Drosophila melanogaster: one gene and its partner. The protein of the gene in region 2 binds, or shares a complex with, the protein of the main gene of each other region. Each region holds a gene or a part of one and is shown on either strand. Other genes may lie near its edges. The genes, in order: NELF-B and Nelf-A.

Region 1 (4,912 bases), on a different chromosome or scaffold from region 2:
GGCACCGCTGGCCTCCTCGTACAGGCACACCTCTTCGTAGTCCACCTCGGCGCCGGTTGCCCCGTCCTCGTCCAGTTCGTGCTTCACAATATCCAGCTGACCGTCGTGGTCGACCACATCATCTTCGTCATCGACATCATCGACCACATCGTCATCGTGGGCAATCTGGGAGAGCTCAATGCTGGAGATGCTGCCGTCGTGCTGCGACTGATGATGATGGTGGTGGTGGTGGTGGTGCGGCTGGTGATGATGCTCCTGCTGGTGATGGCCATGATGATGGTGATGGTGGTGCTGCGATACAGTGTCATCCGAGACGCCCTCCTCGTAGGCGGTCAGGATGAAGGTTTCCGCCTCATCGCTGACCAGGGTGATCTGCGAGGTGCCGTGATGTGAGGAGAGCGTGGCGGTATCGTGATCCGATTGCCCGTCATCGTCCATCACCTCGTCGTCGTCATCGTCCACATGCTGTTTCAAATGCAGCATAGCTCCAATGGGCAATGTGGTACTATTCGCGCCTCCAATGCCTCCACCGGCGCCGGCAACCCCACTCGTCTCATAGGTGATCTGTGTGTTCCGGTGCGATTTCAGTTTCGGCTGGTACACCTTCGACAGGAAGTCCAGCTCCTTGGCGTAGCGCCACTTGGATAGCCGCCCTTCGATGTACTTGGGCGTGCGCAGACGGTACTGGTGGAAAGTGTCCCGCAGGTTCTTCCACTTACGACGCACCTCCTGCACCGTGTACTTGTCTGGAAGAAAGAAAGAGGTAGTATAAATATGAGCGGGGTTTCAAAGGAATCGTATTCCTTTTACAGATAATTGATACAAGCTAGAACCTCTTCAAAGGCATCACATTTATGAAAACGTTTCTAAGTAACGATGAAATTATGAGTTGTGTTATAGTAGCCGGCGCCAGAACACTAGCCTATCAATACAATATGCATGTGGTATTTAAAACCAACTTTAGCGGAAGCTTATATTAATTCTGGAAGAAGGCTAATAGTCGGACATGAAGCAGGCCATGACTAGCACTCACTTCCTATCTGCTGGGCCACCTCCTGCCATCCGTTGAGGACATCGGAGCGGCGTCGCTGGTTCGGCTGCAGTTTGTAGTTGTAGAGAACCGGATTCTGGCGCACCAGGTTGATCAGCGTAAGGATGTCGTCCGTGGGCGCGTTGTCCTTGTGGTAGCGCTTGCGCTCTTGCGTCGACGAGGACATGTTGCTTCAGCTTCTGTGGGTTTCCACTGTTGTGCTCTCCCAAATCCTGATGATCCTTATCCCGATACCAATGCTGCTCCTCACATTCAGGTGTTTTGTTTTTGTTTACCCACGAAAAGAGAGGCTTTCGTTCTCGTCGAAATGCACGCACAAACACATACACAAGCGCACTTGAACGGAGCCAAACACCAGCTTATGTAGGTGTAGGAACACGCACGCACACACTCTCGCACACTCGATGCAAAGGATAGCGACTGTGTGCAGCAGGATCTCCTTTGTAGTCGCTACGGGGCACGAATCTCGGCAAGAATCGAGACGCCTTGTCCTTGGCGTTCAGCTCCAATTGTGCGAATTTGACTGCACTTGATGCTCTTGCTTTGCTTTTGGCTGTTTTTGCTGTTGCTTATTTCGCGCTAGGGATGACACATCGCGGAATTGGCGTTCTCTTTCGCCGTCACTGAAAAGCAAAAGTCCGTTTCCCTGTATTTATAATCCTCAATTAAAAGTTACGTTCTTATACAATTAAGTCGTATGGGAATGATGTTCTAAGGCAAACTAATTAAAGGTTTTTATTTTTTGAGTTCAGTTTTTTTACCAACACTATTAGAAATTAGACTTATATTGTATTTGTGGCCCATATAATTTTTTTTTATTATCTTTATTAATTTTTGTAACATTTACCATTCTACCAATAATAATAATACAACTATTTGTTGGCAAAATAATATTAATAACTACATGTTAAACATACAAAGTTGGCTATTACAAGCCGTGCTGATACGTGCACTATCGATAACACCGCACATGTGCAAGCCTGCGCTTATTTTTTTGTCTCCTCGCTAGCAATAAAAAACAACACAATTGTGTAGCTTCGTGTCTTGTTTTGCTCAATTTGCCGACGAATTGCATGATAATGAGCACACCGGCGAAAAATAACAATGGAACTGGACTGGAGGACGTGAATATTCCGGGTCAGGCCTATCTGCGCGAGGCCCTGACCTCCTGCACTGATCCCTTGAAGGCCATCGAGAGTTTTCAGGTTTGTTTACGTTGCACCGAAAAATGGGCGCCAAAAGTTCGGTGGGCTTATTTATCCAAATATCACCTGCCTTTTTAGCTTGAGAATGGTGTATTGCTGCCTTCACTGCGCCCCATGTTGCCTTTACTCGATTTGCACGGCGTGCGTCGACTGGACTTTCATACCTCGCTGATGGAGGAGCTGCGCGACAAGCTGATAGCTCACATCAACGAGATGGGCCAAAAGGAGCCCCGGGAGCGGGACAAGAAGCTCAAGGAGCTGCTCGTTAAGAGCTTCCCCGTCGTTCGGGTGAAGTCGCTGCGGCCCGTGGTCATGGCCATATTGAGGAATACCCAGCACATCGATGACAAGTACCTCAAAATCCTTGTAAGGGATCGGGAACTGTATGCGGACACGGATACGGAAGTTAAGCGGCAGATATGGCGTGATAATCAATCGTTGTTTGGTGACGAGGTGTCGCCTCTCCTCTCACAATATATTCGCGAGAAGGAGCACATCCTGTTTGATCACACCAACTTGAACAATCTGTTCTTCCACCCAACGCCCAAGGTGCGAAGGCAGGGGGAAGTAGTCCAAAAGTTGGCCAACATGATTGGCACCAGTGTCAAGCTGTACGATATGGTGCTGCAGTTCCTGCGCACTCTATTCCTGCGCACCCGCAATGTTCACTATTGCACGCTGCGTGCAGAGCTACTGATGGCCTTACACGATCTCGAGGTGCAGGAGATCATCTCGATAGATCCCTGTCACAAGTTCACCTGGTGCCTGGACGCCTGCATAAGGGAGAAGAATGTGGACATTAAACGTTCACGGGAGCTCCAGGGATTTCTTGACAACATCAAGCGCGGTCAGGAGCAGGTTCTGGGCGATCTGTCCATGACTTTGTGCGATCCGTATGCCATCAACTTTTTGGCCACGTCGGCCATCAAGATATTGCATCACTTGATCAACAACGAGGGCATGCCGCGTGACAATCAGATACTCATCCTGTTGTTGAGAATGTTGGCCTTGGGCTTGAGTGCCTGGGTGATGATCGATTCGCAAGACTTTAAGGAGCCCAAACTTGATTGCCAGGTGGTCACCAAGTTTTTGCCCGCCCTCATGTCGTTAATGGTTGACGACCAGTGCCGCAGCTTGCACGCGAAACTACCGCCGGACGAGCGTGAATCTGCTCTGACCACCATCGAGCATTCGGGACCGGCACCGGATGCCGTGGAGGCGTACATTCAAGAGAGTTCCGTGGCCAGCATATTGGCCATGTACTATACGCTGCACACGGCGCGCCTGAAGGATCGCGTGGGCGTGTTGCGCGTCTTGGCCATTCTGTCCGCCTGCAAAGACGACCGCGCATATGAGGATCCCTTCCTGCACTCTCTGGTTAGCATTTATAGCTGCTTTTCTAATATTTACTTTTCTGACTCGATTGCTTACCTCTACAGATTGCCCTGCTCATCCCCATGAGCGAAGAGTTTGCCACGGAGGACTTCTGCACCACGCTCTTCGACGAGTTCATCTTTGCCGGACTGACGCGCGAGAATGTGACCTCTCGTCACATGCTGAAACTTTTGTGGTATGTGCACAATAAGCTGCCCGCCGGTCGTTTGGCCACATTGATGAAGGCTATGCAGCCGACGACGGCCCACAACGAGCACATCCACAAGTTGTACGAAATTCTGCAGGAGAGAATCGGCACCGGGGCGGCGGAGACGCCGGTCATTGAAGCGCCGCCCATGGAGTTTGATTCGCCGCTAAAGAGTGTGCCAACGCCAGGACCGCACTATAATGTCCAATAGCTAGAGGCACCGGCAGTCGCACCACCTGCGGCTGTCGTCGGATGATGATGGTTATTTGTGATGATGATGTTGATGTTGATGATGATGATCGGAGGCCATGTATGTGGCTACCTCATATACTTCTCTGGAGCAGCCGACCGGATGGCAATCCCCAATTAGCATGCTTGCGCAAATAATAATTCTACTGTTTAGACTAAACATAAAGCACTGCGACCGAGCAATCGGATATAGTTTACATATTTACAGAATGTATGGCTTTGTTGGCAGGCATCAATCAGTTGTCGCTGGCTATTATATATATTATATATTACTGTTACGCTAGTGTAACGATCGATTCTAGTACACAATATAGAGTACAAATCTAAGGCAATGTCTTTTAGTTTCATCAGGGTTTTTGAAAGAAATATTGGTTCCCGGTACCAGTTTCTGTAATCACATACTCAACTTTTAACTCATCTTTACTCAAATTTAATGATTTACATAACTGGAGTTTCTTACGGACATGGATAATTGAAAGATCCTAATAAATTTCGGTATAAAAGTTTTTTAACGCTTATAGCTTAGGGAAATACACACAATTTAGGAGGTTTATTAGGGATAGGAGTCTTTCGTCTCATGTCTGATCTGTTTTGGAACTGGAAACTGGAGCTGATCCCGCTACGGAAGCGGCCGGAGATGTGGAAGCAGCCCCACCGGACGTGGACGCTGGCGAAACTTCCACGGGAGAGGTATCCAACGGAGGTAGTGAAGATGAGGCCGACAAAATCTCATCATCTATGCAAACGGTGGGCGAGTCTAGAGTTTGAATCTCTGGCGAGAGACTAGGAGCTGGCTGTGGCACAGACAGCGATGACGTGGATGAT
Region 2 (7,810 bases):
GTTGACTAGTTGTAAGCCTTTGATTTCCAGACAATTAAATACACAACAATCAATAATTAACCACAAAGTGGTTTGATTGCACTGACGCTCTCTTGGCCGTGGGCAAGGCACTTTCCAAAATTCCAACCCAGCGGAATTTCAATGTACAATCTTATACATTGTATAAGAGGAATTATTTTCCCAATGATTATTGGTATTACAACTGCTCTTACAGCCAATTTCAAAATTCAATCACATACCACGCCAATAGGTCTTTAGAATTCCACTTGGGCGCAGACCACTTGATAACCAAATTGATCAATTGATCGAGTGTTTGAATATCCGAGTGAGTTGACGTTTGCATGACCTACATTTTCCATAATCAAGCACAAGAGCAGATGTTTTAACATTTAAGCCATAAATACATATGCTAGTTTTATTGTTTGTCTATTACACATTTCAAGATTTAAGTTAATTTTGCTGTGGTGGCTGCGACTCATACATATATATCTAAAACTAAATATATTTTCATTAGATTTCTAATGAATACGAGCGCCGATCAGCGTCTCTAAATTTTATGCTGCTTGGTAAGATAATTACACACTTTTTACTCGACAGCAATTACATAAGCTAGGTATATATATGCAGTTTTAAAATGCATGTGTGAGGCATGTGTGTGTGCCTATGTGATCCGTCCAAACGCTCACTTCTGGCCCATCCGCCTTGCCAACTGCTCTCCAGTGAAGCGTTCAGCCAGAGGTGATTATGCCAGTGTGCTTGGATGAATGGGTGTTTTTATGGATGTACGAACGGGCCTGTTTACTAAATGTTTAAGCGCTAGCCTTTACTACATTCTAAACAACTGTACAGCTAAATTATCTTAATTATAAAATAGTTTCATTATATCCAGCATTTCTTAGGGCGTCTTGCTGACTGCGGGAGGTTGTGGTGAGGGTTTTTAGGAGAGAGGGGGTTTATAATAGCCTAATTAGGGGCGGCAGCGAAGCAGCCCATGCAGAACGGATGACAAATTAAAATACATATTCAACAATCCATATACGCACAAACCAGTTGCAGCCTGGCTGTCCCTGCTCACTTGTTGCTGCGAACTATGCGTATGACCCTTGTGGACTATGAGGCGGCACTCTGGTCCTGCAGCCTGTAGTTTTGGAATGTCTTCCACTCACCGGTGTTGTAGTCCAGCCGGATGTGTGACTCAACCAGGCACAGTGCCGTGTGGCCGTTGTCCTGTTGTACTTTTTCCTGTAACAATTGACATAAAGCATTGAGAATTAACCAAGGCAGAAGCTTGAAATAAATCGCAAATAGCCTTACCTCTGTTTCGCCCAACTTGATGACCAGCACGTTTTCGTTATTTGGGCGCGGGTTTTCCCGCAGACCCGCCATAAATCCAAGGATAAGGGCTTTGTCAGGTCGCGAGACGCGATTTGCCTTGCGGAACATTTCGTGCGCCTTGTGCACGTGTTCGTTCTAGAAGAAACCACAGGACAGGATTGAAATCTAATTTTAAAGAAATATGTGCAATGTTGTTACCGATAGAGAGAGTCCACGTCGCTGGGGTGCCTGCTGCGATTGCTGTTGCGTAGCTTGCTGCTGCTGTGGTTGCTGCTGCTGCTGAGCTTGCACCTGCACCTGCACGGTACGCGGGAGCCCCGCATTCGGATTTCCCTGCTGTCCCTGTCCACCGCTGGTGGTGGAGGTGACCAAACGCTGCTGCAGGGTCGGAGCCGGCTTGTGTTGGACCAGGATTTGTTGCTGCTGCTGGCGCGGCTGCTGTTGCGACGCCGCCGCCGCCGTGTTCGATTGGGTAATAATCGTGCGCTGCGTGCTGCCCGGCGCCGCCTGCACCTGCACCAGCTGCGGCTGCTGGCCCGGCCGTTGAATTAGCGTCAGGCCCTGCGGCAGCGTGGTCAAGCCTCCGCCCACGTTGGTCATAACGGGCCGAATGATGGTCTGCTGTTGGGACTGATAGATACAAATGTGGTTAGATTTTTACATATAGCAACATAGTGGACGTGGGGAAAAGAGATTTACGATTTCTATTGCCAATAATGTTTGGCAAAACATAATTTATACACTTACATTCCCGATGACATTGGTGGGTTGCTGCTGCTGCACAATAACGTGCTGTCCTCCAAGCGAGCTGGTTGGTATGAGAGTGGGCAGGATCTGCTTTCCAGACTGTTGCTGCTGCAACTGTACACCGCTCGAGGGTGTTGTCTTCACCAGACTCGGCGGCCCAGCTGTGGTTGTCATCAGCGTGGTGCCTCCGAGTCCCTGCATGTTGCCCACATTGCTGATTGGTATTTGCTGGTACATATCGCCGCCAATGTTGCGCAGTATAACGCCCTTCTGGGTGAGTATGATGGTCTTGTTCTTTCCGGACGTAGGGGATACGTTCAGAGCGGATACACCACTGGTGCCAACTGCTGCAGTTGGCTGCATTAGAACCTGAGACAACTTGGGCTGCTGCGTGGCCGTCGTATTGGCAACGATCGTGTGCTGTGGATGCGGTTGCTGCTGCTGCAACTGGGCCTGCATATGCTGCTGCTGGGCGGCTTGGGAGGCTGGTTGGATGGTCACTGGTCGATTGGGTAGCTGCACATTCTGAATGTTCAGGGTTGTCTGACCCGGGGAAACTACTGCCGCCGAAGTGGCCACCAATGGCGGAGGATTCGACGACACCACAGCGGTGGCCTGTTGCGGCTGCGCTTGGCGCAGAGGCGTCATCACCACGCTTGAAGAGCCCGATGTCTTTAGCAAAATCTTGGTCGGCGTCTGACCGCTTCCGCTAGGAGTAGTGGCTTGGTAAAGCGTCGTAGTCTGCGGCATAGGCCGACTGTGTGAGAACGAGGTAAGCGTTGGCAAAATGGGCTGTTGCTGTTGTTGCTGCTGTTGAATTTGTTGCGGTTGCTGCTGGGGTGTGGCTAGAATATACTGCGTCTGTTGCTGCTGAGGCTGCTGTGGTAACTGCGCCTGCTGTTGGGTCTGCTGCTGGATTTGCTGGTGTAACAATTGCTGCTGCGACTGTTGTTGCTGCTGCTGTTGCGAAGCGGCCGCTGCACTGGAGGTTCCAGCCTGTTGTTGGGCTCGCTTTGCCGGCTGGATAATAGTCTGCGATATGATCACTGGTCCGCTGTTGGTAGCCGTCTTCAGCTGGCTCAGTGGCATCGTCTTTATGGCTTGCGACGGTATCGTCGTGGTAGTTGTGGCGGAGGTACTGCTACTAGGCAAAGCCAAAGCCTTCTGCAACCGAAGAATTAAGTTAATTAGCAAAGAGGGACTAAGTTTCATTATGGCAGGTGATAGAATTTCAAATATTTGTCCAGGAAAATTAAAGAAATTCCTAACTAAAAGTTCTCCAATAGAGCTACGCATAATTTTATACTTACCGCTCTCTGAGCGCTGGGCGAGGACGCCAAGATCACGGGTGTGGAGCTGTTAATCAAAAGCGGGGGATGCGACTGCTGAGGCGCCTGCTGAACCTGCAACGTTTGCGGCTGCTGCGACTGAGTCTGGCTGCCACTGGATGTTGCCGCTGCTGCAGCTGCCGCTTTCGCCTTGGCAGAGGTTATCTTCACGGAGATATTGTTGGGCAGATTGGCCAACGGATTGGCCGCCTGACGCAGTTGCTGCGGGGTAAGAAGTGTAGTCGTAGTGCCCGCACTCGTCGAAGGCGAGACACCGGTGGCGCGTATCATTGGCTTGATGTCCAGCTTCTCCATCTTGATGGTGGTATTGCCCACAGTGGTTGTGGTTGTGCCTGCACTCGTGGTTGCCCCGTTGTTCTGCCGCTTCTGCGGCGAACTGCGGATAAGCAGGTGCGGGGTGCGCTGCACCAAACTAGGCGGCTGTTGCTGGATACTGACGCGTTGGGTCGACGGTGAAGTTTCGATCTTTTCGAGTTTGATGCTGGCGGGTACTATGATCTCCTCGCTCTTGATCTCTATTTCCTGCTTGATTCGTTTTGGGGTGTGATTGAAGCTGTTGTTGTTGTTGTTGTTGTTGTTGTTGTTCAGTTTTGCTGCGGATTTCGGAGTTCGCGGCGTCTTCAGCTTCGTTTCTACTGCTGGTTTTCCCGGTTGACCATCCGCCACGGACGTCGAAGTGGCCTGGGCAAAGTCCAGCGTGGCTGTAGCGTACTCCGGCGTCTCGATATCGCATTCCATATTCGCTTTGCCAGACATCTCATCGTCTTGCGGCTCTTCCAGGCTTCCAGCGCTCTGGTTGAGTTGCTGCGGTTCCATTTTGATTTCGAAGCTGTTGTTAGCTGACGTGGGCGTGACGGGTGTTTCGCCTCCACTGGCAGTCGCCGCGTCCGTTGGTGAGCTGTCACCAGCATTGCTTGCCGCTGCTGTGGCGGCCGCAGCTGCCGCTGCAGCTGCCTGTTGCTGTTTCTGCTCCTGCTTCTTTTGCTGCTCTTCCAGTTGCTGCTCGCGCTTTCGCTTCTTAGCCGCCGCATAACCCAAGGGCTGTTCGGTGAATTCGATCAGTTTAATGCCACCGTCTTTGCGTCCAGCAGGCGTTCGACTGAGATTGGGGCGCTGGGCGGCATTTCCCGGCACGGTGGCCGAACGGAACCCAGTGGTGGGCATGCGAGATGGGATTCCCTTCAGCGGGGTAGTGTCTGTCATCTTACGTGGCATGCCACGCGATCGCAGCGGTATTGTGGGGGCCGAGGCCTTCTTCAGCGAGGACTGCGCATCGGCTGACTTGTGTAACAATTCGGTGCGCAACTGGGCGCTCTTCGGCTTGCGCTTCAGCGTAAAATGCTTGACGGGAGCGGGTTGCTGGCCCACCTGAATTAAACAAGAAAAAATTATTAGTTCAAAACAGGTAAGATTTAGTAAGTTTGTCTATACCCACCACTGAGATCAGTGCGTTTTTATTTAGGTACTGGCACTCCAGAGGCAGCATGCCGAGGTCCGAATGCTTTGTGACCAGCTTGCGCAGGTCGTTGACCATGTCTATGAAGATGGGACGCGTGTCCTCGTAATCGGAGATCTCGGTGTTGAGCGAACTGGTCGCCGGAAAGGTCTTCATCGTCTCCGCCAGCATGGAAACCCATAGCTCTGAATCCAGGCCGGCTACCTCGATCACCTCCTCAAGTTCCGCCTTCCACTGCAAATTGCAATCAAATCAACAATGGGTTGGGTTGCATAAATAAATTGACAACTCGATGCTCAAATACACTTTCAGGTAATAGATACAATGAATATTTACGATCTGGTAGTCCTGGTATGATCGATTAAATACAGATTTTAATTACACTATAACGGCACGTTGCAAATCAAATAAAAAATCAATAGTTATTTGTATTTATACTTGGTCTACCAGCTCAGCAGCCTGGAGATACAAATGTATCTTTTAACTGCGATGTCAAACGTCTGATAAAATTCGAATTGCTCTGTGGGAAGGGCACAACAAACAAATGAATCCGCGGCCACCCACAACAGCCCACTCACACATGAACACACCGAGGCACACGGGAGAGAAATCCACGCACAAGTGTCGGAGAGAGAGAAATGTGTACACAAAAGCAGAAGTGGCGGGAAACGTTGCTAATATTTATTTTCACCAACCCGCGAAATCGCCCGGGGGGGAAATGTTAAAAGGCGAAGAAATGTGCTTTGGGGTCCGCCAGGTGATGGGATCTAAGAGATTTTCCGAGTATTTAAAAATTGTCCGCACTTTTTGTTTCAACAACGGTAAGTGTACTCCGTGTACGTGTGCGCGCGGGCCGCAGTATGCGTGCGTATGCACTGGTGTACTTTTTCCATACACCAACGCCATTTCAATTCATTGGATTTCATTTACCTCCTCCACCAGACGGCGCGGGATGTGAAGGAAGCTGAGTAGGAGCTTCAGTTTGACCTGCGTTTGCAGATCGGGGAAGCATTCCTTGATGTTGCGCAGCACCTCCTTGTTCAGCTGCGAGCAGATGGAGCCGTTTATCCACGAGTCGTTCGAGGTGCCCAGTTTATTATGCAGCCACAGTGATGTGTCGCTGTCCCTTACGTTCGCCATTTTTTCGAATTACGCCTGTCCGCACGCGGGGCACACACTGCAATTTATGCCAAACGTTGACCCGCCCTGTTGCACGGCACTATTTGATGGCGTTTTTCACTTTCTGCCGCGCTGCACGTCAACAAGACACACGAAAAATCCTTCGAAAAAATTGTAATAGGAAGCGCACGCACACATCAAACGCACGAAAAAAGTGTTGCCACATGTCAAACAGTGTGCACGGTCCAGTGGTGCAAAACGCCGTTGTAACAGCGCCCCCTGCAGGGCTACCAGCTATCGATAAATAATCGCTGAATACTAAGCAATTGAGGTAAACATGAATTTCTGATAATAGAAATGGAACTCCTCAACGAATCTGCTCCGAATCCGCTTGCCAAGACGCCGAAAAGTGGCATGTCCACGGGCGGCAAGATCCTGATAGCAGCAACGGGCGGAGTAGGTATCGGTCTGTCGATTGTGTGCGCCTCCTTTGTGGCGCCTGCATTCCGGAGGATTTGCTTGCCTTATGTGCCAGCGACGACCGAGCAAATACAGAACGTTCTCAGCTTCCTGCCCAAGAATTCGGCCGGAAAACTGCTGGACATTGGATCCGGCGACGGACGGATTGTAGTGGGTAAGTACGCTTCACCTAGTCCATTTAAAAACATTGCAGATAACTTATGTAATTCTTTCCAGCTGCGGCACAGCATTGTGGTGCTCTAAAAGCAGATGGCGTGGAGCTAAACCCATGGCTGGTCTACTACTCGCGCCTGGCCGCGCTGCGTCACAGCGTTTCCAAACGGACGAGATTTTTTCGGCGAGATCTCTGGAAGTTCGATATAAAGGACTACAACTTCGTGGTCATTTTTGGGGTTGAGCAGATGATGCAAGATCTAGAACACAAACTCATTGCTGAGTGTCCGCACAACACCAAGATTATCGCCTGCCGCTTTCCACTACCCAGCCTAGAGCACGTGAAGATTATAGAGGACGGAGTAAACACCGTCTGGTTCTACGACCTGAACAAAAGCTAGCAAAAGTTTTATTAAATTGGTATTTTTATTGTTTTTCTCAGTAAGAAAACAATGCTTACGATAAATGCTGGAAGGGTTGGTCAGTTATACAAACTTTATACCTCAAGGGAATACAAAAAGGACGAGGACATGACGTGAGTAGCTAGCACCGCTAGCCGGAATACCAAAGATGAAGGAACATTAAAAGTGGAGGCAGTGAAGGTGGCAACCAGCTACGCTAGAAACGGCGACCCATGTAAATACACTTGGTGGCCTCCTCGCGATAGACATCCACGAAACCGATTCTGGAATAAAAGTTCACCTGGGCGACATCTTGTTGCGGAACGCGAACGTGAGCACCAAAGCAGCCGTTCGCACGCAGGGCGGCCAGAAGTACGGTGAGCATCCGCTTGGTTATTCCCGAGTCGCGCTCCTCCGCTTCGCGCAAAGTTCCGGAGATCAACACGGCAGGGAAGGAGCCGCTCACCTCTACGGGACACTGGTCCAGAGCCCCGTTACCGCTGCTGTCATGATAACTCTCCACAAGGGAGGTGACGAGCTGTACAACCTCCTCGCCACCCTCCAGTGGACAAATATCTCTAGAGTACTTCTCACGCAGTTCCGTGTACCAGCACAGCTCCAGGTTGCGTCGAAATATGTTGACATCCAGGGCGGCGCATGAATATCCAATGATACGGTTACTCTCGTCGTAGGCCACAATGCACAGTTGCGGACTGAGGGTGAGATATCCACCGATCAGCCCATCCGCCACAATGTTTGGCACATTCGCC

The links.
Region 1: Nelf-A (region 2) and NELF-B share a complex: the UniProt entries of both Drosophila melanogaster proteins name them as parts of the NELF complex.

What each region holds. Positions count from the first base shown.
Region 1 is NC_004354.4:7,725,496-7,730,407, reverse strand, and holds NELF-B (NELF-B), read left to right. Parts: upstream 1-2,046; 5' UTR 2,047-2,124; coding exon 2,125-2,256; intron 2,257-2,334; coding exon 2,335-3,633; intron 3,634-3,695; coding exon 3,696-4,049; 3' UTR 4,050-4,412; downstream 4,413-4,912. Other genes in the region: CG12155 (uncharacterized protein), read right to left, coding at 1-746, 1,034-1,217; hira, read right to left, coding at 4,663-4,912. UniProt on the Drosophila melanogaster protein: Essential component of the NELF complex, a complex that negatively regulates the elongation of transcription by RNA polymerase II.
Region 2 is NT_033777.3:21,222,087-21,229,896, reverse strand, and holds Nelf-A (negative elongation factor A), read right to left. Parts: upstream 6,194-7,810; 5' UTR 6,028-6,193; coding exon 5,818-6,027; intron 5,709-5,817; exon of another isoform or gene 5,308-5,708; intron 5,122-5,307; coding exon 4,867-5,121; intron 4,800-4,866; coding exon 3,393-4,799; intron 3,247-3,392; coding exon 2,083-3,246; intron 1,966-2,082; coding exon 1,534-1,965; intron 1,471-1,533; coding exon 1,315-1,470; intron 1,243-1,314; coding exon 1,111-1,242; coding exon of another isoform or gene 1,072-1,110; 3' UTR 385-1,071; downstream 1-384. Other genes in the region: CG3337 (uncharacterized protein), read left to right, coding at 6,364-6,640, 6,703-7,040; Oga (O-GlcNAcase), read right to left, coding at 7,258-7,810. UniProt on the Drosophila melanogaster protein: Essential component of the NELF complex, a complex that negatively regulates the elongation of transcription by RNA polymerase II. Has an essential role in postembryonic development.